Oreochromis niloticus: one gene and its partners. The protein of the gene in region 2 purifies or fractionates together with the protein of the main gene of each other region. This does not show direct contact. Links are inferred from orthologs where the notes say so. Each region holds a gene or a part of one and is shown on either strand. Other genes may lie near its edges.

What was found.
Region 1: the proteins of mtf2 (region 2) and ezh1 purify together in Homo sapiens (affinity purification with mass spectrometry; 3 studies listed by BioGRID and IntAct, with this or other methods). This does not show direct contact. The link is inferred for Oreochromis niloticus from reciprocal best matches to the Homo sapiens genes MTF2 and EZH1.
Region 3: the proteins of mtf2 (region 2) and jarid2b purify together in Homo sapiens (affinity purification with mass spectrometry; 3 studies listed by BioGRID and IntAct, with this or other methods). This does not show direct contact. The link is inferred for Oreochromis niloticus from reciprocal best matches to the Homo sapiens genes MTF2 and JARID2.

Annotation. Positions count from the first base shown.
Region 1 is NC_031969.2:26,101,737-26,109,648, forward strand, and holds the start of ezh1 (histone-lysine N-methyltransferase EZH1), read right to left. Parts: upstream 3,017-7,912; 5' UTR 2,531-3,016; exon of another isoform or gene 2,286-2,530; intron 1,374-2,285; 5' UTR 1,372-1,373; coding exon 1,201-1,371; intron 927-1,200; coding exon 801-926; intron 136-800; coding exon 13-135; intron 1-12. Other genes in the region: ramp2 (receptor activity-modifying protein 2), read left to right, coding at 5,434-5,494, 6,089-6,151, 6,241-6,273.
Region 2 is NC_031982.2:10,795,652-10,803,409, forward strand, and holds the start of mtf2 (metal-response element-binding transcription factor 2), read left to right. Parts: upstream 1-4,746; 5' UTR 4,747-4,965; coding exon 4,966-4,970; intron 4,971-5,848; coding exon 5,849-6,053; intron 6,054-6,201; coding exon 6,202-6,283; intron 6,284-7,378; coding exon 7,379-7,489; intron 7,490-7,645; coding exon 7,646-7,746; intron 7,747-7,758. Other genes in the region: dipk1aa (divergent protein kinase domain 1A), read right to left, coding at 3,828-3,881. UniProt on the Homo sapiens protein: Polycomb group (PcG) protein that specifically binds histone H3 trimethylated at 'Lys-36' (H3K36me3) and recruits the PRC2 complex, thus enhancing PRC2 H3K27me3 methylation activity.
Region 3 is NC_031985.2:20,234,691-20,241,624, forward strand, and holds the start of jarid2b (protein Jumonji), read left to right. Parts: upstream 1-3,918; 5' UTR 3,919-3,957; coding exon 3,958-4,045; intron 4,046-6,934.

The DNA of each region.
Region 1 (7,912 bases), on a different chromosome or scaffold from region 2:
TTTTATTTATACCATAAAGTTGTGCTGCAGAGGGGACCAGGAGTACATAAAGGGGATTCCAGCTACTGTTGACAGTGGTCTCATGGCAATGGCTTGAGCTTTGAATCCTGGGAAGCCAAACTCCACTGTACACACCTGTAAGATAACCAGAGGTGGCTTGAGAATCACCAGATCCTAGAACAATATGCTGCAGCACTTGGCCGTTTTATAACTACACACTTAACTCTGAGCAGGGGGAATAAAACCAGTTAACACAATACAGCCCACCATGACAGCATGCGGGAGGAGAAAGATGTGGTTATACCATCAGGCTGTATGTATTATAAGCTCCCACAGGGCAGCAGACTGTTAGACTGTCATGCGATCCACTTCTACCACACTTTCCCATCCAGTTGGGAATCGGTATAGAAGATTGGGAGGGGTGAGGAGATCTCAACATGATGTTCAAGAAGGGATTTCCTCACAACACATTCACATTATAAAAATATATTGAACTTCTAGCTTAGCCAGAGCATCTTGGACAGGAATAAGAAGACGTACCGCAAGGTTCAGATAATAGTGCAAATCATGTGTCCTGCCATTGTCTTAATAGTCTCCATCGCTCTCTTTTTGTATATTTTGGGTGGCTTTTAGCCTTTCTTATCTTCTCTCCACTGTCCTATCACAATAAAGCTGACAGAAGAGAATGAGCGGTTTCAAACCCTGGACACTGCATCACAGCATAAGGGTTGCATGCTCAACTAAAGCTAGATCAGTGCCCCATAATTTCTCCGTCTCTCTCTGACAGACCACACACCCACCTTTTTGGTGGCCAGAGCCCCATTAGAGGTTGACAGAGGGATGGACTGAATCCGGAGCTTGGACCATTCTGTGTTTAGGATATTTGTCTGTTGCTCAATCTTTTGCCTGTTAGACATGAAAAGGGTCTAGAAAAAAAAGAGAATAAAAGACCAAGTTAAACAAGACATACACACTATTAATATAGCACACGCATTGAGAACTGGATACAAAAGACACACCAGGATCCCACGTACAAATTAAGCGTTGCTCTTTATTTGTTCAGGACCATTGCACAAAACCCTGATTGCACAAGAGAAAAGATGTCTTGTGCCATATTTAGCTACAACCTTATCTTCATTCACAGACCCTGAAAAAAACTGAACATCTGAATTTAACTTGGGTGATGTCAATGTGACTCACTTTGACCTCTTCTGCTTTTTTAAGGCGTTTGACCTGGCGAAGGCGCATATACTCAGACTTGACCCTCCGTCTCCACTCCAGCATGCTGCGAGAAGGGATAAAGGAGGAAGACTGAGGTCTTGGAAGTGATGGGGCAACACCGGTGTCAGGGGCTGCTGCACTTTCCTCCATGACTGTTTAAAAATAAAAGGAAAGCATATGACAAACAGGCCCAACTTCAAAACATTCCAGTTTCATATTCAGACAAGTTACTTTTGTAAACTTAGGTTTGTTTTCATGTTTTCTGCCACAGTAACTACTTTCACTAATTACATTAAATGTAATATAGTAGTAGTATAGCAGTAGTTCTGATGTAATATGCCTGCAGTCCACTTCAGTTACCTTATTATAGTACTAATGGGCTTACTATCGCCCTCTGTTTCTCACAACCCCATTACATTTCCCCATTCACCCTCGCCGATGGTCTTTCTGAAAGAGTGCCCCCATCTGTTAGCAAAACAAAACAGACGTCTAATGCAAAAAAAAAAAAAAAAAAAGCCTCCTCGAGTGCTTTACGGGGCTTTTTCTGGTAGACTGTTTCTGCTCTTTTTATAAATCTTGGGGAAAATTGATTGAATTATGCGCATACAGCGCGACAGTGTGCGCATCTATGAATACAGCACATGAATTTAATAGCACGGGGCATCCACATTGCACAGGAGTGGGCGTGCCACTTCAGAAAAGCAGAATAGAAAAGTGCGTAGTACAGTTTTTCTGTGTTTCATAATCGCCACGCTGAATATCAACTTCCCCGTCTGAACTCAAACGGAATTAAAAATAAATACAAAGGTAAAACTGAGCTCGGGGAAACTGCTGCACCTCGTTTTTGGGGGCTACGAAACGTGCACACGTTTCAGACACATGAAGCTATGAAGTCCGCGACGTCCTGTAAGTGCAGCCCCGTGCCAAGAGAGCTACACAGTACCCATTTAAATGTAGAACACTCTAAAGACGTGCGCACCGAACAGCACAATGACGGCACGTTACACTAGCGCACGGGTGTGCACGTCAAGATCGCTACATCCAGTGTCGCAGTTATTAAATACCTTTAAATCCACGTCTCGTGTCCTATTTGTTGCGACAACAGCCCGCAACGCGACCAAGTCCCTTTCTGTTTTTCTCTCTCTCTCTCGTTTTTTTTTTTTTTGTTTTTTTTTTTAGTAGAGAGATCCGGAGCAATTCAAGGCTGTGTTTGCTATGGCTCTGACGCAGTTATCATCTCCGCGCAGCGAGGGGATCTCTGAGAAATCTCTATCCATGGGCATGGTGCTGGAGGTTGTTGTTGTTGTACCTTACAAATAACTGCGCACTTGGCTTGGTTGATCCAACTCGAGCAGGAGGGTGACGTCTATATTATGATCACAGCCTTTCCAAGCAGAGGAGGATTTATTACTATTCTGCGTCCTGGGAATAAAAAGTAGCGTGCAGCAGCCACAGCACAGCCATTTACACGCATACACAGGAACTGATGCAACTGTCCGGAGTGCTAGATCGCCATCTAAATGCGTGAAGGCAGAACACTCTGTGGGTTTTGATAGTAGAGCAAGTGCAAACACATAATCTTAAATACAGCCGACTCTATAGGAGCGAAAGAATAAAATGGCCTAAATAAACATTATGAATACACGTAGCTTTATAGGAGTATCGGGTATTTATTTTATATATTTACCAAAAAAATCAATGCAAAATAAACTTCTCACAAAACCTGAAAATAGATGCATTAATTCAGTCTGCCCACAGAGCTGAAGTAACTGTCTAGCCTACGAATTAAAAATAATAAATACTTGGACACTGGAACACAGTTTCCCGACATTCCAATGTACTAGGGTCAAATGGAAAACAATTCAGCTGCTGTTCAGCTCTTCTCCTCCAGGGAGAGCCCGACACACAAAGATAGAGGGTTGGATGACGGTATTCACGCCACTGATGCTGTCACTTAACCCACGTAAAACCCACTATACAGAGCTCAAGCAAGCTGAAAAATGATGTTTTCGATGGACTTTGATTTGACGAGCAGCGATATGAGAAAGCATAATGACTTGAATTTACAGAGAAGTATATTAACCTCTGTAAATCTTTGCTTATGTGTAAGTAGCCAAACGTCACACCCCTTTTGTAGGGAAATGTTTAATTTAACACATCACGCGTAAACCGGACGTAGGGTTCAACGGAACACGTGGTAATAGCTAATCTCATTCCATTTTCTGGCTTGATTTGATTTAATGTACACAAGCTAACTGCTAACACCTAACACTATAAATAATTACGATAAATTACCAATAGTCACATTACTATGGAGGCACTGATTCTGACTTGTGTATACATTTAAAATCAGAGAAAATCAGTTAATTTGCTACAATCACTTTAAATAGATTCAAATATTTACGTTCAATTAAATATAAAATGTAGTGTGGATAAATAGTGTGTGTACTTAATGCCAAATAAGAAGCTGAAAGTGCAGGCAATCGAGTAGTGGTTTGCTATAAATAAAAGTCCTTGAAAGTACTGCTTTGATAAACATGTTAGATGTTGTGTGTGCTCTCCACGGGAGGAATTTTAACATATCCCCTCAGGATATAATACAAAGAAAAAAGTAAAATACAAAGGATATATTTAAAAATATTTACTCTCAGGGTATTTTATTTATAGCTCCCATTTATTTCATTTTATAGTTTATTACTTGTAAGATATTAAAAAAATCCCCAAAAGCAAACACAGTAATTATTCATCTGCAAGACACAAGATGGCGCTATTTAGCTGGTTTTTAATGGAAGGACGCCACATGAACTCATATGTACACATCAAAGTAGGATTAAGAGAAATGAAACTTTATATCGCCTTAACAGACCCATCGTGTTTCTCTCTGATTGCTGTTGTTGCTGATCCCCTCTGTTCCCTGGCTGTGCTGTTTGTGGCACGCATGCCTGCTTATGATTTATGCATTCAGTGAGCAAAAGGTATCTCAGATAGTACAGTTTGTTTGCCATATCCACAGTGATATTTGAAGTAGCCACTGCCATGTTGATACTAAACTGTCAAACAAAAGCAAACACACAGAGGAAGATGAGCTTAGGACACTGTTATCAGCAGGAAGTTTTTAATTCTGCATCATGTAAACTGCGTGTGTTGATCTTGGCATCTCTATTTGGGATACATTTCTTCAGATATGCTGCAGGCTTTATGATCTGTGACAAAGCCTTGGAGATGAAAAGATTTACAACGTAGCTAATAAAACAGAGACTTCGAAAGCCATTTGAAATAGTGAGTGACTGTAGAAGCATTCATTTTCATAGAACACGTGTCAAAGTAAATGTTTACTTACTTACATTTCAAATATGCTTCATGCTCCACTTCGCTCACACTCCAAGTTCAATATTTAAGCTTCTATATGCTGGATTTTTAAAGTTCAGTCCATTACATGTAAAACAGTGGCCTCCTTTAACTGAAATGAAATGTGGAAGCAATTTTGGCCTGAGCTACTTGGATTTCTTCCAAGCCTAGCAGCTGAAAAAGAGTACTCATCCCTCAGTGACGTGAATCAGTTTCATACTGGATATTCCAGCCACCTCTCTTTACCACAGACGTTTATTGAGATAGATAGATATTCTTTACCCACGGTTAGTCAGTTGCTCCACAGCAATGAAATATGAATCCATGACCTAAAAAAAATGTAGATTCATTAAAACTTTGTCTGATATTTCTGAACAATAAGCTAAAAAAAAAAAAAAAGTATCTCTTCTTTGTGATTCGCAGCCCTGTGTGTTTCTCCTAAAAATACTTTACTGAAAACTTTTACTTCTCTAAATCTTTGAAAAGCAACTTGTCAGCAGCATGTATCCTGTCAGTCTAACATAGCTTGCATTTGATCAGAAGCTCCTGCATGTTTGCAATAAAATTCTGCTTGCAATGATAAATAAAGAGGCAGAAAGTGGGGAAGAGAAAAACAGGACAAAGTGTGGCCCCTGAAAACAGAGGGTGGGACAAACTAAGGAAATAGATGAAGAGAGAGAGATTGATAGTGCTGCACCAATGGGCCGCAATAGTCCTAACTTTATCAGAGGCTCTTTGCCCCATTTGGTGAGTCCGCCCCTACTAGGAAATGAGGGCTTCCTGTTGCTTTACACAGCCTTCCTGCAAAAGGTTGAGATATGTAATTCTTACCCATCAGGGAAGAGGAGAAGAACATTAGGCAAAATGACACTCACCAGATTCTTAGTTATGTATTTCAGAGTTTTTATGCTTCTTTTCATCTGGGGTAAGTAAAGGCTTTATGCTATCCTATTTTTATTATTTTGACTTAATCTTTTAACTTTTCCATGAACTCACCTCTCAATAAGAATTCAAAGAAAATGTTTAGTAATTAGTAGATTTTAGTAAGGAGTTTAGTTAATCCCCTGACTGAGTTTTACACTGAAACAGTTTGGATTAAGGGTCAAAGAGTAATTGTGATCAGCCTGAGACAACTGATTTTTCTTAGATCAGTTTTTTTTTTAACTTTAGGAGGATATTTTTATGAATCTCGTTGCATTTTTTAAAAAAATGCAGTTGTCATGAGTCTTTAAGAAATAAAATATTTCAGTCAATTACTTATTTATTTCGCGCAATAGGACCGCGATCACATGGGATGAGCTTTTGAGTTGAACACATTAAGATTTCCTTAGAAAAGTGCTAGACAAAGGGAGGATGCACTCATGTGTTCACTCAGCACGGCATGTTATTTCCTTTACTGCCCCACTCAGGTCTGCAAACTACATATAGAAGATTATGTACACGTATAAAATATTGTGGTGTTTTAAATCAACAGTTTTATTCCAATGTTCAGGTCTTTATTTTATTCCTCTTATTACAGCAAGCACAGCAGTGGTATGTCAAAGTGAAGAAAAGGTAACTGTGCATCCGACAGTAACAGTAGGTAAGTACATTTACAGAAATAAGCAACAAACCAAGGAAGAAACAAAATTCATGCATGACCACTGACTAACTGATACCCCTCCTTTGCAGAGTTTAACTCAACAGACAGGATGATGACTCTTAGTAAGTGCATACATTTTCTCCATCACTTTATTATAGACTGACAGCTATACATCTATGTCTATATGTCCTAGATTTTGTATTTTTACAGTTCCAAATGGGGTTTATGTAATTGCATCCACTGAGGAATTGCTTTGGATTACATTTCTAAACTTATTTGCCTGGTCTGGAACTGACAAACCAGAAAAGCAGAACTCAGGGATCCTTTTTTCTGCCAAGATTTGTCCTTGTGTGTATTACCATGAGAATCCAAGACAAACTCCTGGGGAGGTCTCTACCAGTGAGGGGTCAACGTCAGTGGACATGAGGCCCGTACTGGTTTGGGGTTGGAGGGTAACTGAAACCTCATCACGAGCAGCCCCCACCTGGCTCGACTTCCTTAATTTGTTCGTCATTCACCCCACGCAACGTCTGTGATCAACGCATGAACTCTGAGTTGTGAAACAACTAGAACATTGGAGCAGCGCCCCTTTCACTGTTCCTCATCCTGTGCCTTCCTTTTTTTCCTTTTTTCCTCCATCCCCCGACTGTCCCCTCCTCCCCCTGCCAGCGCTCTCAACTCTGAGCCCCCCACCCACTGAAAAAAAAAGAACACATTTCCTGATGTCATTACTAAATCAAAATGTTGCTTGGCAAACAGATGTTGTGAGAGGCCGAACATATGGATTTAGTGTCATAAATTAACAAGCTGGTTGTGAGAAACCCTAAACCATAGATTTCATTTTTAATTCAATCAGTGAAAGCACCTCTCTTGCACACAATTTTTTTTTTTAAAGACAGTGAGAAACTATCTTCCAGATGTATCACACACATGAGCAAGATTTCCCGTACTTGTAGCGTTAATTACAGAATGTTTTCCTACTAGCATGCATGCGTAACGATAGTTGGCCCTTTAAACAGCTGGTCAACTTTGACAAACAACTATTTCCAGGTTTGGTCAAATTAACCTAAATATGAAATCATGGCTGTCTGCAGAGCACACCCTGCAGAGTCATGATTACATCCACCCCGAAACGCTAAGTCCTAAATGTTTACTTATGTTTCCTATTTGGCAGAGACAGCCCAAAAGGCAAATAAATCACATGCTGTGAGCTGGCCAGGCCTTCAACTGTGAGAAACTGAGACTAAAACGCAGAACAAGAGTTAAAGAGTAAAGGGTTTTCAGATGTGAGTCCAGCCCCAGTTTGGGTGTGCTCCCTTTTATTTGGGAGAATGGAGAGGACAATCTTTGTTGCCTCCACCCCTTTAAAAACGGAAGAAAATTTTAAAGAAACGTGTGTTAGAGAGGGGGAGAGCCGCTGCCAAGGCGGAGGGCCATCAGACAGATCTTCGAAGAACATCTGGTAACCGCGGGTAACATTGTTTGGACATCTGGTAACCGAAGATTGCACTGCGTCTCTTCCATCCTGTCGGGTTTCCTGTTATGCCTCGCTGTATGAAGTCTAAGAAGTTTTGGTTTTTTATACATGGTTATACGCTGGGGAAAACACACCTTTATTCATTTTTTCTGACATGAAGGGAGCACTTGGTTTCATAGGGTTATTCCTCTCCTTTCTCTCCGGTGAGTGTGTGGTCTCCCTTTTATATATGGAAATGCCTGCCTCTGTGCTAGAGATGTGGAAAAAATTCATTATCTAAAGTA
Region 2 (7,758 bases):
CAAAATATTGCTGTCTGATTTATAAATGCAGACAGATTGACAACATGTTGCCATCAGTCTGAATGAGTCTTTGTCAGTAAACACAACTCGAGAGGACTTGAGTCAGCTGGATGCTTGTGAGCTGGTTATATTTCTATAGAACAGGAAGGTTGCTGAACGCAAATGTAATGTGAATTTCTTTTAAAAATGAATTTGAGCCTATGTAAACTTCAACAGATATGTGATTTTAAAGGATTTATCACAGTTAATTGATGTATTATTAACAATAGATTGCACTTAATTGCCAACTTGGTCCCTTTCAATCATAGACTATCTCACAATAATTATGGCTGGTTTTAGTGAGTACTGGTATGCTTGCCAATGTTATTGTGATAAAACAGGCACTGACAAAGTTCAACTTTGAGGGCATAATTTGCAAAACTAGATAAATAATATTGTATAGTGTGAAGCCCGGTAATGATATTGTATCATCTGGTATCTGGTGACTCTCACCACTAATGGAATAAAAAACTGAAGTGAAATGAACCAAATCAGAAACAAAAACAGCTGCAGTTGTTGAAAACAGGAAGAAAGATCACGTTTAATGCCAAAATAGTCAAAGTTCAGCTGTGCATACAGAAAGTAACTATTTCCTTTATTACCAACCTATAGCAGTGTTATTTTTGCATCTCTGCGAGGCTGCACTTATAAAGAGTGGTGCTTTGAGTTAAAGTGTAACTTTAGCATGCAACAATAAAAACGATAACATGGCAATGATTAGCAGCTATAACTTTTACCTTGTTTGAAATCCTAGTTTAGTATGCCAACATGCAAACATTTGCTAAGAAAAAAACACAAAATACAGCTGAGGCTTATGGACTCCTTACAGCAGGTAAATACTGATTTGGTGGTGCTGAAGTCAGAGGATTGCAAAAGTCTCTGGGAGGGGGAACGTTAACATTTTGTGTCAATAATTCGTTAATTTGTTCTTTGGTCAGTGGGGCCAAAGGTTGCTAAGCCAACTATCATGGCAATCCACACAACACAGTTACACATTTCACCATCTCTTCTATGGCAGAAAAGTCTGCGGCCTTATCAAAGAGTGTCGAACTAGAATTGCGAAAACTTTACAATAAGAAGTTACAGGACACTTCTGTGAGGTCTTGATGTTGCTCTGGAGCAACAGCTGAAGTCAGTTAATGAAATGATCCTCTCGGCAGCACACAGACTAAGAGAATAATTAAATAAAAGCAAGCAAAAAGATAAAGCAAAGAGGACTGTTGGAAGGCAGAGTGGAGCAGTGAAAAGAATTTAGGTCAGACTGCCTCCGTCGGCCACACTTCTCGACTTTTACCCAAACAAAACTGCAGTTAGTTTTTCCTCCGAGGACTGTAACTGCACTTGGGAGGATAAAGTAATTTTGCTTCTCTCTTTGATTGCATGACAGGAACTGGTTATGCCGTGTGTGTTTTGGCAGCTTGGCGTGCCTCTCATTCAGCTTCAGCAGTGTTTCCAAATCCCAGCAAAATACCCTGGCGGTGTGGCAGGCACCAAGTCAAAAGCCTTTTTATCTTTCATGTGCTGTGATTACTGTAGTTTGTAAACAGAGCAGAACTCTCTGTTATGGGTTTATACACTCTGTGGGAGACATTAAAGCGTCTGATCCGCACTGACACACAGACAGAGGGTCAAATTACTCTTAATTTGTATTCTTTAGAGATTTAAGGCATCTCACCAAATACTTTTACAAAAAGGTTAGGGTACGGGAAAATAACAAATTAATTGTCTCTCTATTTGGTGCATTTCATCAATCTGTTACTGACAACAGCAGGAATTTATTTGAGCTTTAGCAGCTGCTTTTTAATAGAGCAGGACAGATGTCTCCTCTGCATGACCACTTTGATTTTAAACACTGTGTGCCCTGAAGAGATGACTAAATAGACAGTTGGCCTCCACGAAAGAGATGGAGATAAGGATAGAGAGTGAACATTGCTATCACATCTGAATGCCTTGGCATGTGTAAACGGAATTAACATTGCCTATGTGCACACATGGAAATTAAAGGTTGGATGCAGCCCAGCCCTCCATAGTCATGACAAGCAAGTGACTTTGAGTCATGTGTGTCTGTGAACTGTCTGTGGGGTATGTGAAAGCTGAGCAGGACAGAGCTTAATCCTTCATTAAACCCTGTGGTCCCTTACAGTGTCTCCTCTGCAATGAAACCTGATATGTACTAAACGTCTTAACTAGGAAAACAATGGATAAACCTAACTGATGCCACGTATGAGGGTTAAAAAGAGTCAAAAAGATGTTTATTACTATATTACTAACCACAAAGACAGGGACAGAGACTCCACATGTTTTGCAGTTGTATAGCAGCCTCAAGGTATAAATCAATAAAATAAACAAAACAAGATAAGTCAAATAAAATGACTAAGTGCTGAGAGCTGAATGACCTATGCACGACTGAGCTAAGTGACAAAGCACAAAATCCATAGTGCAAGCTTTAGGGTCACTGTCTGTCAACAGATGGTCTCAGTTACCCAGACAAAAGACCCATATCATGTAGAGGGATTTGCGGTGATGGCCACTGTCATTTCATCCCACCTGAAATCCACAGAGCGTCTCAGGACGGAGCTGGCTCTCCTTGTCAGTTTTTGCCTCTAATCCCGCATGACGCACTGAGGGTGGCTAATAATCTCTGATTGAAAACGTGTCTTTACAGGCTCAATGAAGCCTTACTAAACTGGTTTTTAAATGTAGCACGCTTTGACATCTGAGCTACTTGATTTCTGACAGCACAGTTCGGTCCAGGAGCCATATATATGTCAGCTCTGCAGTAAACTGTGATGACTTTGCTGAAACCTGCCTTGTAAGCTTGCTACCTGGAAGAAAATAAGGAACACATTTTGCCGTTGTGAATTTATGAGCAAACAGGTTTCCTAGAAAGTTCTTAGAGAGGCTTTTTCTCAAAATTGGTGAGCCCGTTTGCATTTTGCACTGACCTTTTGTTTGAGAACATGGGGAGAAACTGATTTGAGTAGACCACAAGCAGAACTATTTGCCTAATTACTGTGAAAAATGTGCAGACTGCATGCACAATATGCAGTGAAAACACATGCAAAATCATTTTTTTCTTCTAGGATCAAAGTCCTCTCAGGCCTTAAAAAAAAAAACAACGCCCGGTACAGGATGACATGTTGCTTAGTAGCAACTGATCTCATTGAATTAAACCACGGGCCTACAGGAGACATTGGTTTACTGTAATTGGTTACTGGTTATAGCCAGATGAAATGAGGTGAGCTTGCCAACATGTTTCACACTTTGAGCTCAACATGTTTCAGCTTTCAGTAGACTGCATTAAACTGACTGTTGTGTATGTTGTAATACAGCAGCATTCTACCCTTTTTAAGAGCAAATGCAGCCCTGTACTCTCCTCCTCTTTCATAAGCTCCTTACTGTATTGGGAGAAGTTGCTGGCAGCTGCTCCTCAAATCAGAAGGTTCAACCCTTATTACCCAGCCCAAAGGAATTACTGCTGCCCTGGCACTGCTGAAGGCAAGGAAAAGACTGAGTGGAAGCCCTGGCGTCTTTACAGTCAAAAACAAAGCAGAGCCAGGGAAACGATGATATTGTTTCTAGAGCAGGCTCGCATTCATCAGGTATTTTGCATTTTGCATTCATCAGGTATTTTGATGTCGCCCACACCGAGCAGCAAGAGGAGGTACCCGTTTACTGCCAGCTGTCAGTGTGATGTGGCACCACAGCAAGCTCAAACAACCCCACAGCATCCCCTCATTTTAAACTGCAATCCACTTCACACAACACATCCTGGGTAGCAATCTTACCTGAAAGTAGAAAGACTTTTTCACCCAGGCCCGTGGAAACAGACCCTTCGCCATCACAAAAATAGATCATCTCAAGACGTGGACCTGGCTGTGGGGGATCATCCAAAAACCCATGGGAGAAAGCCTGTTCAGCATCAAACGACGGGCACAGGGAAATTATTGCAGGTTATCCGATTTTAAGCTCAGATTGTCGATTTGTGTTGACGGCGTGAGTCGCTCTGACGGCACACTTTGCCTGCGCCTGGGCTCTGTTTGCAGCAGCTGCTGAATTCCAACCAAAGCAACATAGTTGAAGCTGGGGAAAAAAAACGCAGGTTCAGAGCGCAGGCGCAAACTCTACCAATAAGATGTCTGTTTTTAAGTTTACATGTGATCAACTAATTTGACCAAAACTGCTGTCCAAGCCCACTCACCGATGCCAGATCCCCTCCGCAGATAACGGTGAGTCAATATTGCGTGTTTGCGAAACTCTGGAGGTACAAGCAGGTCAAGCCCAAGCCAGCAAGGAGAGGGAACACAAACATCCGCTTTCTCCTTCAAAATAAAGGTTTTATTGCGGAGACGCTACACACAACTTCCGGCCAGGAGGTCTAATTAAAAATTACCTGTTAGCGTCATGTTATGTTGTAGCGCCATGAAGTGGCCGTACTTTGCACAAGTTTATCAAACATCTCATCGTTAAACTTCTGATGTTTTTGAGTAAACATATTTTATATTTAGAATGTCTCTCTTAGGCAGACACTTACGCATAACACCTCCAGTAAAACGTCGACTAAAATAATAAAAAAAATTTAAAAAAATATGCTTCTTTAAGGGGCGGATATGTTTTGCTTACTAAATGCCCTGCCTACAATTTCAAATGTTTGAAAAAATGGTGAGCGTCGCGGCAGAGACAGCCAGCAGCAGTCGTTTAAGCTCTTCCCATAATGCACTCCCCGATCACCAGCGGGAAACCAAAATGGCGAACTTGCTCGGGGAAAATGAACCGTTTGTTATTTTCTGAGGAAGCCACAAACCCCGCATGTTTTCCAGACACGCTTTGGAAGTGAATTCAGTTGCTCGAGGAGCGGGATAAGAGCGGCTCTTCTGTCCGGTTATTTTTGTCGTACGAGTCGTTTGTAGAAGCGGAGGTGACCGAATGAGGTATTGTTGTCATGTTTTCCTCCCGTTAGGGGGGGTGTGGGTCCGACGGTCAGCGACCTGGCTGGGGTTACGGCTTTGCATGTGGATTATTCCCGCTGCTGAGCTCGCCCAGCTGCCAGCTATTTAATATACAAGACATTATATCAGCGTGCAGCGGCATCCCAAGCTGTCTTTTTATCTTTGCTAAGTGGCTGGCATTGAATATGTCCACTCATTATCCGAACAAAGGAAAGCCTGCATTGGAGGACAGCGTTTAAAGGCGAAGGAAAAAACCCCAATAGTTTCTTAATATCTGAAATTAATAACATTTGTAATAGAAGCTAGAAATATGACATTTTGTATTAGTATGTACAAACTATCTGCTGTCACTGAGACTTGTGGTGGAATGGAAGTGTTCAGTAGTAAGTACATTGGTACATTGGTCTTTATTTCTAAAAGGGTGGTTAGGTTTTTGTTTTTTGTCTTTCATTGCATTGAAGCCATGTTACTGACTATGTGGTTAATTACCAATTAGCACTAATTATGGGTATAATCACCTGTTGTTCAAAGCCAGTGGAGAGGAAATGCCATGTTTCACTCTCTTTTGTAAGCCCTTCTGCAAGCACACAATGCATCCTTGTGTTTGAGGGCTACACATACAGGACTGTTACTCTGCTAGCTGTTATCAGTTTAAAAAAAAAATACCAATAACATGCATTAAGTTGTACTAGTATTCTTTTGAGGAAACAGAATACACCACATATAAATAATTACAATCTGTTTACAGTAAGCAGAAAAAAAAATTCTCCTAAATTAACTTTGAACTTATTCCATATCCGCTTGCTCCATAGTCTAAATTCACATCTGCCTCTGTTCTCTTGTATTGCACTGTTTTTCAGAGACTCAGGGGTTGTGGATCACCTGTCTGTGCATCACAGAGCTCATCCCCCGCAGCGGCAGCAGCAGGCTGTGTCCTTGTCCCCCACAAGCCTTTCTGCCAGGGGAGAGTATGGAGAAGACAGCATGTCTGATAGGTTTTCAGAGGGACAGGATGTCCTGGCCCGGTGGTCAGATGGCCTTTTCTACTTGGGGACAATCGCAAAGGTTAGTGTGAGGATGATGCATGAAGGTAAACGGACTGTGTGGAGAGCGTTGGCAGAAAAACTCCTGAAATCAGTATAGGTCATTTGCAGCAAAATCTGCTCCTGTCGCATCTGGAAACAAGTAAATCTTTCTTTGTTTTGTTTTTCAGATAGATCGGGACAAGCACCGATGTTTTGTGGTTTTTGAGGATCGGTCAAAGTCTTGGGTTCTTTGGAAGGATATTCAAACAGGTGAATGTTGGCTTCGAGGTGGATAAGAATGGCTTCATTGATCCCAAAGGGAAATTTAAAATGTGCAATATATTTTAGTTTAATTGCTAGATAATATGCAGTAAAGATACTGTAAGCCAGTGCAAAGAGGGTGGGGAGTCAATTATCCACAATTTGTGCTGTGCAAACCTTTCTGCCTCTTCCAGGACTTACTTATCTCTTGCTCTTGTCACTGACAGTTAACTGTAGAGTGTATCAGTACAGTCGCAGTGCATTGCTAATATGCAGACGGGCTGCTATCGCTCCACTTAAGCCCCTTTAGCTATTATGGTGTTAAGAAAAACTTATTCTTCATTTTTATTCTTAAATGGGATGGGTCATGAATAAAGCATTAATGAAAGCTATGATCAGACACATTCGTCACATTTGACTGTAAACGATTTGTGGGATAATTTTTATTTATTTATTTTAACCTCAAACCTCATCTCAATAGTTGAATTGTGATATATTAAAAAAGTATGACAAAGAATCACCACATGAGATGCAGTCAAAATCTTGTTATAAATTCTATTCCTGTGCAAGTGTGATAAAGCGCTATGAGGCAACTGTTGCTGTTATTTGGCGCTACATTAAAAAAAAAATAAAAAAAATGATTTGAATAGAAATCCCCCTTTCGGGTCTAGAAAAGACACATAGTTATTACAAACATCCCACACCCTCGAATATGCTCAGGAGGAAGAAGGCAGCAAACTGTCCGCAATCAGGATGAAAACGGCTTTATTCCTGCTGAATCAAAAGTTAAGCCAGTAGATGGAATCTTCTCTCTAGTATCCTGGTGTAGACCTTCAGTGACACGGAAGCGTGATTACCCCCCCCCCCCCCCCCCCCCGATAACCAGACAGTTTGGATTTTATTTATCCAGGTTGTAAAATATTTTCCCTGCCACCTTTCTCTAGTTTCAGCTGGGTGAATTTGAGTCATCTTTTGTTCATGTGATGACTCGGTGTACTCCTCTGACCTCGTTTAACTGAAAGCTGCTTTAAATGATACCCTTAGTCATACCACCATTGATCTGAAACTTTAGTTGCTTACCTTCATGACTTTGGTGCTGTTTAGGGGAAGAAGATGATGAGGATGACGACGACGATGACATTGTCTGCTCCATATGCCAGGACGAAACTTCAGAGGAACCCAATGAGATTGTCATTTGTGACAAATGTGGACAAGGTATCATTTATTGTCTCTGATGTTCCAACATAAGCCAGAAACAGTTATTTTATATTATATTTATAACCCATTTAAACAGCCAGTCTCAGTAGTTTATTTATTCGTCTGTTGGGCTCTAATCTCTGGCCATTACGGATGTGTTCATTTGTGTTTTAGGCTACCACCAGCGGTGTCACTCCCCTGTCATCGATGCTGCTGTCATCGACTCTGATGACAAGTGGCTTTGCTCAGAGTGCGAGCTCACTTCTCTATCTAAGGTACAGATTTTT
Region 3 (6,934 bases), on a different chromosome or scaffold from region 2:
ACGCACTGTGTGCACCGAAAAGGTCCCCGCGCTCATTAGTGGAATTCCACTAGCCTGGTGGGAGCTAGTTGTAGGGTAGATGTGTGTGTCAGTGCCAGGTAGCTCTGTGTAGAAGCGGTCTCTGAAGAGTTCTGGCAGTGCCTCACAAGCGCAGGCGCACACATACGCGCACGCGCACGGTGTGCTGTGTTTGTCAGGGAAAGTGAGGTGCAGCACGTTTTGGTTTTGGTTGTTTGAGTAGATGTTTCTCTTCTTCTCTCATGCTAAGCTTGTCCTGTGGTAACACGATGTATATGGTTATGGAGGGTTTTTGTAATGCTGACCAACATTTTGCCAAACACACATGCAGGGGCAGGTTCTTCTGATCAGAAGGCCCATTTTGTCTTGGGTCAGAAAATGGCTGTGGAAACTTGTTTAATTGATCTCGTGCAGCTATGAGCAAGTATTGGGAAGTTTTAGGTTAGAGCAGTTGCGGCAGAGCACAGCTTTAACCGTCACTTTTTTCTTTTCGTTTCTCCCCTCGGTGAAAAGTCGGTCAGCATTTCTTCCCTGCATTTTTTTTTTTTTTTTTTTCCCCCCAGTCTCACATGTGTACACAGTGCAGGAAATATCTGTGGCAATCTGCCAACTACTGTGAGGAAACCACAGAGAAACGGAGAGAAAAAGAAATACAGATGAACTTTAAGGTCATTTTTTTCTCCCGATGCAGCTGTGTCTGGTGTTTTTGTGTGTGTGTCGAGCCATAGAATCTGTATATGAGAGCATTTGTAACCCTGAGATATACTGTCAGTGCTGTGTGTGTGTGTGTGTGTGTACATTTGGCCTTCTGCCACACCATGGAGGGAAAGAGTGCTAGTGAGCTGTCTAGGTAATTGGTGCTTACCTGGCAGGCTTTTGCACACATGCACACACAGACACACTCGCATGCACACACAGTGAATGGATTAGATGACATTAACTACAGGAGAAAATGGCATAATTGAATACTTCCCGCTATCTGTCTCTCTAGTGTGTGTGTGTGCGTGTGGTCATGTGTGACAGTGTAATGAGTGACTGCACGTTACACCCCTAAAAAATACCCTATCACCCTCTGTCAGAGGCTGCGAAGCATCAGTGCACTGGGAGGTCTGCTTGCGTGTGTGTGTGTGCACGTGCGAGCGTGTGTGTTGTATAAAGGCAGACATGGCTGTCACCCATCAGCTCCATCATGTGCAGACACTCAGCTTTTAATATTTTGCCCACCTTTCCCCTCGCCAGCTCTTGAGGCCTTTCCCCGAAGGGTCCCCGGGCAGACCTGGGAAATCAAAACAAAGGCAGGAGCTTATTTTTATCCACCGAAGAGACGGAAACAACAAAGAGAATCTTCAGTTTTGTCAGTGTTACAGTCATATCAACAGAGAACACTCAAGATATCTCTGCGACCTTTTAATAAGATTTAAATTAGACACCATATCACTGAAGTTGGCATCTGGCCTGTAATCCAAAATTTGTACTGTGCTGGCTTATTTCTTTTTCCTTTTTAAATAAAGTTGTGCAAAGGCAGCCCACCACTTTCACACTATTTTCTGCTCCTTCCTATCATATCTTAGTTGCATGTTTGATTGTGTGTGTAGAGAACATTTCCGACCCCAGGAGTCAGAAACAACGGGCTTATTCACTCGCCTGTGGGAGAATCCATACCAGTAGGATAAGATTACATCGCTCTCCATCTTCCACGCACACAGAAGTACAGTTTGTGTTCCCACAGCTCGTCATCTTTACTCCTCTGCTTCTGTTTTTTCTTTCCTTTTTGGGGCTTTTTATTTATTTATCTTTTAGTATTCTATTAAAACAAATTCTATCGTCGTTATCTTGTTATCAGCAGCAGTAAAACAGTTTGATATGATTGTTATTATAAATTTTTTTTTTTGTTTGATGTGGAATTTTATTTATTTATTTTTAAAATAATGCACCCAGCCAACAATGATGCCACTGCAGTGTCCGCCAGCCACTTAGCAGAGCCAGCTCCAGTGGTCTGAGTCAACTGGATGAACAAACAGTGTGCTCCCACACAGGTCTGCCTCTTTACATTTGACTCAGACAGAAGGAAATGTGCTTGCTGAGATGGGTCGACAGGACCTGAAATGTGCTTTTAATTCAGATAATTAGCATACATTAGGGGTTTTTTTCGGTTACATAAAAGCAGCAAATGTTTTCTTTTCTGAGACTTAACAGCTGAAAACCACTCGCCCCATGACTCGAGTAGAGAAAAGCTATTTCCAGCTTCCATTATTTATTAATACCTCTTTGTTGTTGCGCATGTCCTAATCTCATTTCCTTTAGTCATTAGCGTTGTTCGACATCAAACACAGCTGTCAGAGCAATGAGTGTAAGCAGCAAGGGAGGAAAGAAGTATGGTGATTGCTGTTGGACACTCACTAAAGACCCTTTTTAGAATGCTCTTTGGGCTGGAATATTTTTTTCCAATAAGCCGTTAAAACTCTCAGTGCGAGCAATGAGTGTTTCCAATAACTTTCCCTCCATGTGCTGCACATTCGACCATCTTGTGTTTGTTGCCTAGACCGAGTCTGAATGGGTTATGTCTCGGAGAAGGATGTGTTGTGCGTGCGTGTTAGTGCGTGTGTGTGTGTGCGTGCGTGTGCATGTGTGACTCCTGGTGACCTCTTTTGACAATAACATCTTTTGTCTCGTTCTCACTGGGAGAGATTAGCAACACATAAACTCGCAGTCCCATGATGCCTTTTTCATTTGCTTCCTACCTATTCATCGCTTTAATGCTCTCCGCTCACGGCGTTGTGGGGAAAATGCGACCCCTTAATGTATTGTTATGCTAATGTGTTGCCCTGTGTCTAAGCTAATGCTATGTTATGCTAATATTGTGTCATGCTAATGTCACTATGTAGTGAGAAATGTTCGGGAAGGATGCAATAAGAACAATATGGAAGGGAGTCCCCATTCTACTCGGACCTTTTTATTTGTTTTTTTCCCTCTCTTTACTAAATCTATCATAACTGCTCACACATTAGCACAGCCGTCATCCAAAACTCGGATTATTTATCTGATGTTCTTCTACATTCTAGCTACATTTAGTTTGTATTGTAAGCTAACAGCTTTAACTGTTTCTCCACTCTGTTGGGTCATTGTTACATTGCTGGCTCAGGCCATACTTTTAGCTTTCATAATTTTCGCTAATATTATTAGAAATATCCACTGTGTCTTGCTAATACATTCATTTGTTTATCCACAGTGTTAGCTAAAAATTTTAACTTTTACAAGTACTTTAATCAAGCTAATAGTTTTGTTCTGTTTTGACCATCTGTTTTAATAATTATGCATTCCTTATTTCTGTGTTAACTATTCATAAAATAATTTAAAATTACTGCGGTCCACAGTTTTCATTCTCTAATTTTAATAGCTTGTTCATAGTTTAGCTAAAATCTTTTTTTTTTTCTGTAAGAAATTCCTTCATTCTACGCTATTTTTGGAGTTTTAATGCTACATTGAAAGTGCTGAGTAATTATGTGGGTATCTCTTCGCAAAAATGTGAAAATTTACAGACTTTGTTGAAGTTAGTTTAAGCTTTCTTTTGTTTTGAGGCAAATCTAAGCCTGGCTGGCCTGTGAGCATTTCCTGACCTTGACCTAACGCCACACTACTTTGGAAGTTCTGTTGCCTTGCAAAAAGAAACAAAGGAAATGGCCCGGCATAAACAGCTGTCCAACTTACAAATACTGTCTTTTATTATGTGCTTTTCATGTTCTTGTCTGCCAAGTGTTTTTTTTTTTTCTTTCCAAAACATGATGTGAACAGAAACAGAGTTAATGGTTGCAGAAAATGGAGAAATGCACATTGCTTGTGGTTTTTCTCTGCGATGAGGGCTTACACTAATCCACTTTCACCATCTTGATATCTTCACAGGATGACAGTGATGGGATCCCGTGGTCGGAGGAGCGGGTTATGCGAAAGGTGCTTTACCTCTCCCTAAAGGAGTTTAGGACTGCACAGAAACGGCAGCTGGATGGGGATGGAACCACAAACTCTAATGGTGGGTTTAAGTCCACCTCCTTAATGCTCTAAGGAGAGCATTAAGGAGATAAATGCAATAGTGCATAGCTCATCTTTGCACTAACGTTTTCTTTTGTTTTTGTCCCTGGGTTGGGTGCTACAAAAGAGCAGATTGAGTAGATGTGTAGGTGTGTACTGTACAGCAGTAATACTTTGCTGAATTAATCAGCGTTAAAGTGTGAAATAAAGTAAACCGGCCTATTTGTTCATATCAGCAGCATTCAGTAAGTGATTATACATATGCAAGTTTGCTGTATACTACAGATTAACCCTTAAGCATACAGGACTGGCTGTTTTGTTAATAGAATTGAGAACTCTTGGAGAACTGATGATCTTTCCCTGTAGGTTAAAACCTTTGGAGGGACTTCTTGTGTTTCTACTGCAGGGACAAGGGTCTAAATAAAGGGCCAGAGAAATTACTTAAATCCGAAAATTCAAGTACTTGGGTTTGCTGAAACTGCTCTGCTCCAGTCCATTAGGTAGTCATGCAAAAACAGTGGTAATAAGATAGAAGATCCCTAAACCTTTAGAAGGTACGAGTGCGAGAGCAGGGGTGTTTTTAGTAGAAACACACAAAGTTCCTCCAAGGTTCCTACTCAAGGATAATGGTTCTTCTAGTGGAAAAGTCCCGTTTGTACTCTTTATGTAGATGATGACTTTGCAAAGAGAGAAAAACAAATTACACCAATTAGTGTGCTGTTAACAGCTTGACACAGTAAAAAGAAACTGCAGAAGGTGTGAGAAGCTGAAAACCGTCACGCTGTTGTGACAGAGTCGGAGGCAAAGAATGGCTGCAGTCATGTTTTGAGGGGGGAAATGTCAGAGTTGCTAGTTTTTTTTTGTTTCTGGTCACTGAGCCGTCTTTTGGGCCGGTGTCACGTCCTCAAAACTGAAAACATTTCCCTCTCGTTTCTAAAAAAGTTGTTTGTGCATCAAACAGAGGGACACAGATGAGGTCTCCAGCAGTGCCACACACAAGAAAACACGTGTATAGGTGTTGCTAATTCCACCTCCACCCCACAGCTTTACACATTTACACCCATCCTGGGGTCAGGGCTCATTAAAACACGAGCCTATCAGAAGCCTTAACTTGAGCTAATACCCGAAATTACTTACTAAAGACAGAAATCCAATCCCATGGTCGAAGCCTGCTCCAGAAACAGTTGAGGGAATTTGTGTGTTTTTAAAAAAAGAGAGGCTGAAACGACATGAGAAGAGTGAGTGCACAGGGGGGATGAACAGCTTGTTTTGAACCAAGCTGCCACCATGTCTTTGTTTGACACTGGTGTTCCTACACGCACACATACACTCACACACACACACACACACACACACACACACAAAAGCCCATAGCCAGCCAACAGCGGAGATTTGAACTTCACACGTGCCTCAGAAGCTATTCTCAGTTGACATTAACACAACCCAGACGTGGAAAGAAAGGAACCAGGAGGAAAAAAGAGCCTCTGAAAGTTCACGCCCAGTCTTCCAGCTATCCAGCTCGGCAGAAAGAGAGACGGGCATAAACGGGGAGGTGGGAGCCTCTTTTGAAATGTAGCTTATTCCTTTTCCTCGTTTCTTATTTTTGCCATGTTTCCTTTATTAAACACAGATTAAAAAAAAAAAATCCTTTAGTGTTTCTGTCCATAGTGGTTCTGAGTGCCACCCCTCCCTCCCCTCCTTGTGTGCCAGTACATCTCCGTGCGTCTGTCTGGCATCTCATAGCTGCCACTCCAGAGCTCCTCAGGGCCTTTTAAGCCGCCGCGGGTAGCTGACCTTATCGCCTGAATAAAAATGACTCATTAGAAAGCGTTGGCAGCCTGTCGCACCGGGGGTAACGACAGCAGCCCGCGCTGACACAAAAGGGAGTCGGGCTGAATAGACGGGACCTGCTGTTTTAGAGCACCGTGGGTTAGCGAGGCTTTGGAGGCAGTGCGAGCGGCACAGTTTCCTCTCTCACACAGACATTGTGGTGAAACTGTCAGCCATTTTGGAGGATCACACTCAGCATGCACTACATCCTGAATGGGCAGCCCCTGCTGTTTTAGAGGACTGCGGGTTAGAGAGACTGGGCATATTTTGGGGCCAGACATGTGCCGCACTTTTCAGCCTCATGCAGGCGTCGTCGTCTGTGTGGAAGTATCAGTCATTTTGGATAGGGCATTGATGAAATGATGCAAGGCAGGAAATTGCTTGCTTATTTACTTAATTGACAAAAAATGTAAAGAGCGAAATTTGTAAAACTGTGATTATTTAAGCAGAAAATGACAAACAGTCCATTTTCTTGGACTGGCATTTTGTTTTTAATCCCAATGACAGAACGCTGAAAAAAATCAAGCTTTTCAGAGTGTTTTTGTCAATGGACGATTGAATTCATGTTATTTCAGATCTGATTGAAAGCGTGGCATCTGGTCGTCATCAAGCCAAGCTTCTAAAGCAGCTTTTTGCCCCTACTTTGGGCATCTCTCCATCCCCTCTCCCTTTCCTCTCTCCTCCCTCCTCCGTCACTGTGTGGCAGCAGCGGCTATCTATTTTAGAGGGAGGTGTGGCGGCCTGTCAATCAGCCGCACGTGTCGGTCTATCTCCCCGCCCACCCCAGCCCTTCTCCCTGTCCGTAACCAGTAATCATGCCATCTCCCCAGCCACTTTACCTTTTGCTAGCTGGCAGCCGTCCGTCTGTGTGTCCATCACACATCCTGCCTCCTTTCCTGCATTATTTATCAAATGGCATTATGCCCTTCTGCATCCCAGCTTCTGCTCATTAATCCACGCATCGCAGCCACATTCTTCCTCTTTTTTTTTTCCTTCCTACTTTTCCCTATTTCCCTCCATCCATTTGTCCTTCCGTTTGCTCCCCCACCCCCCTCCTCCA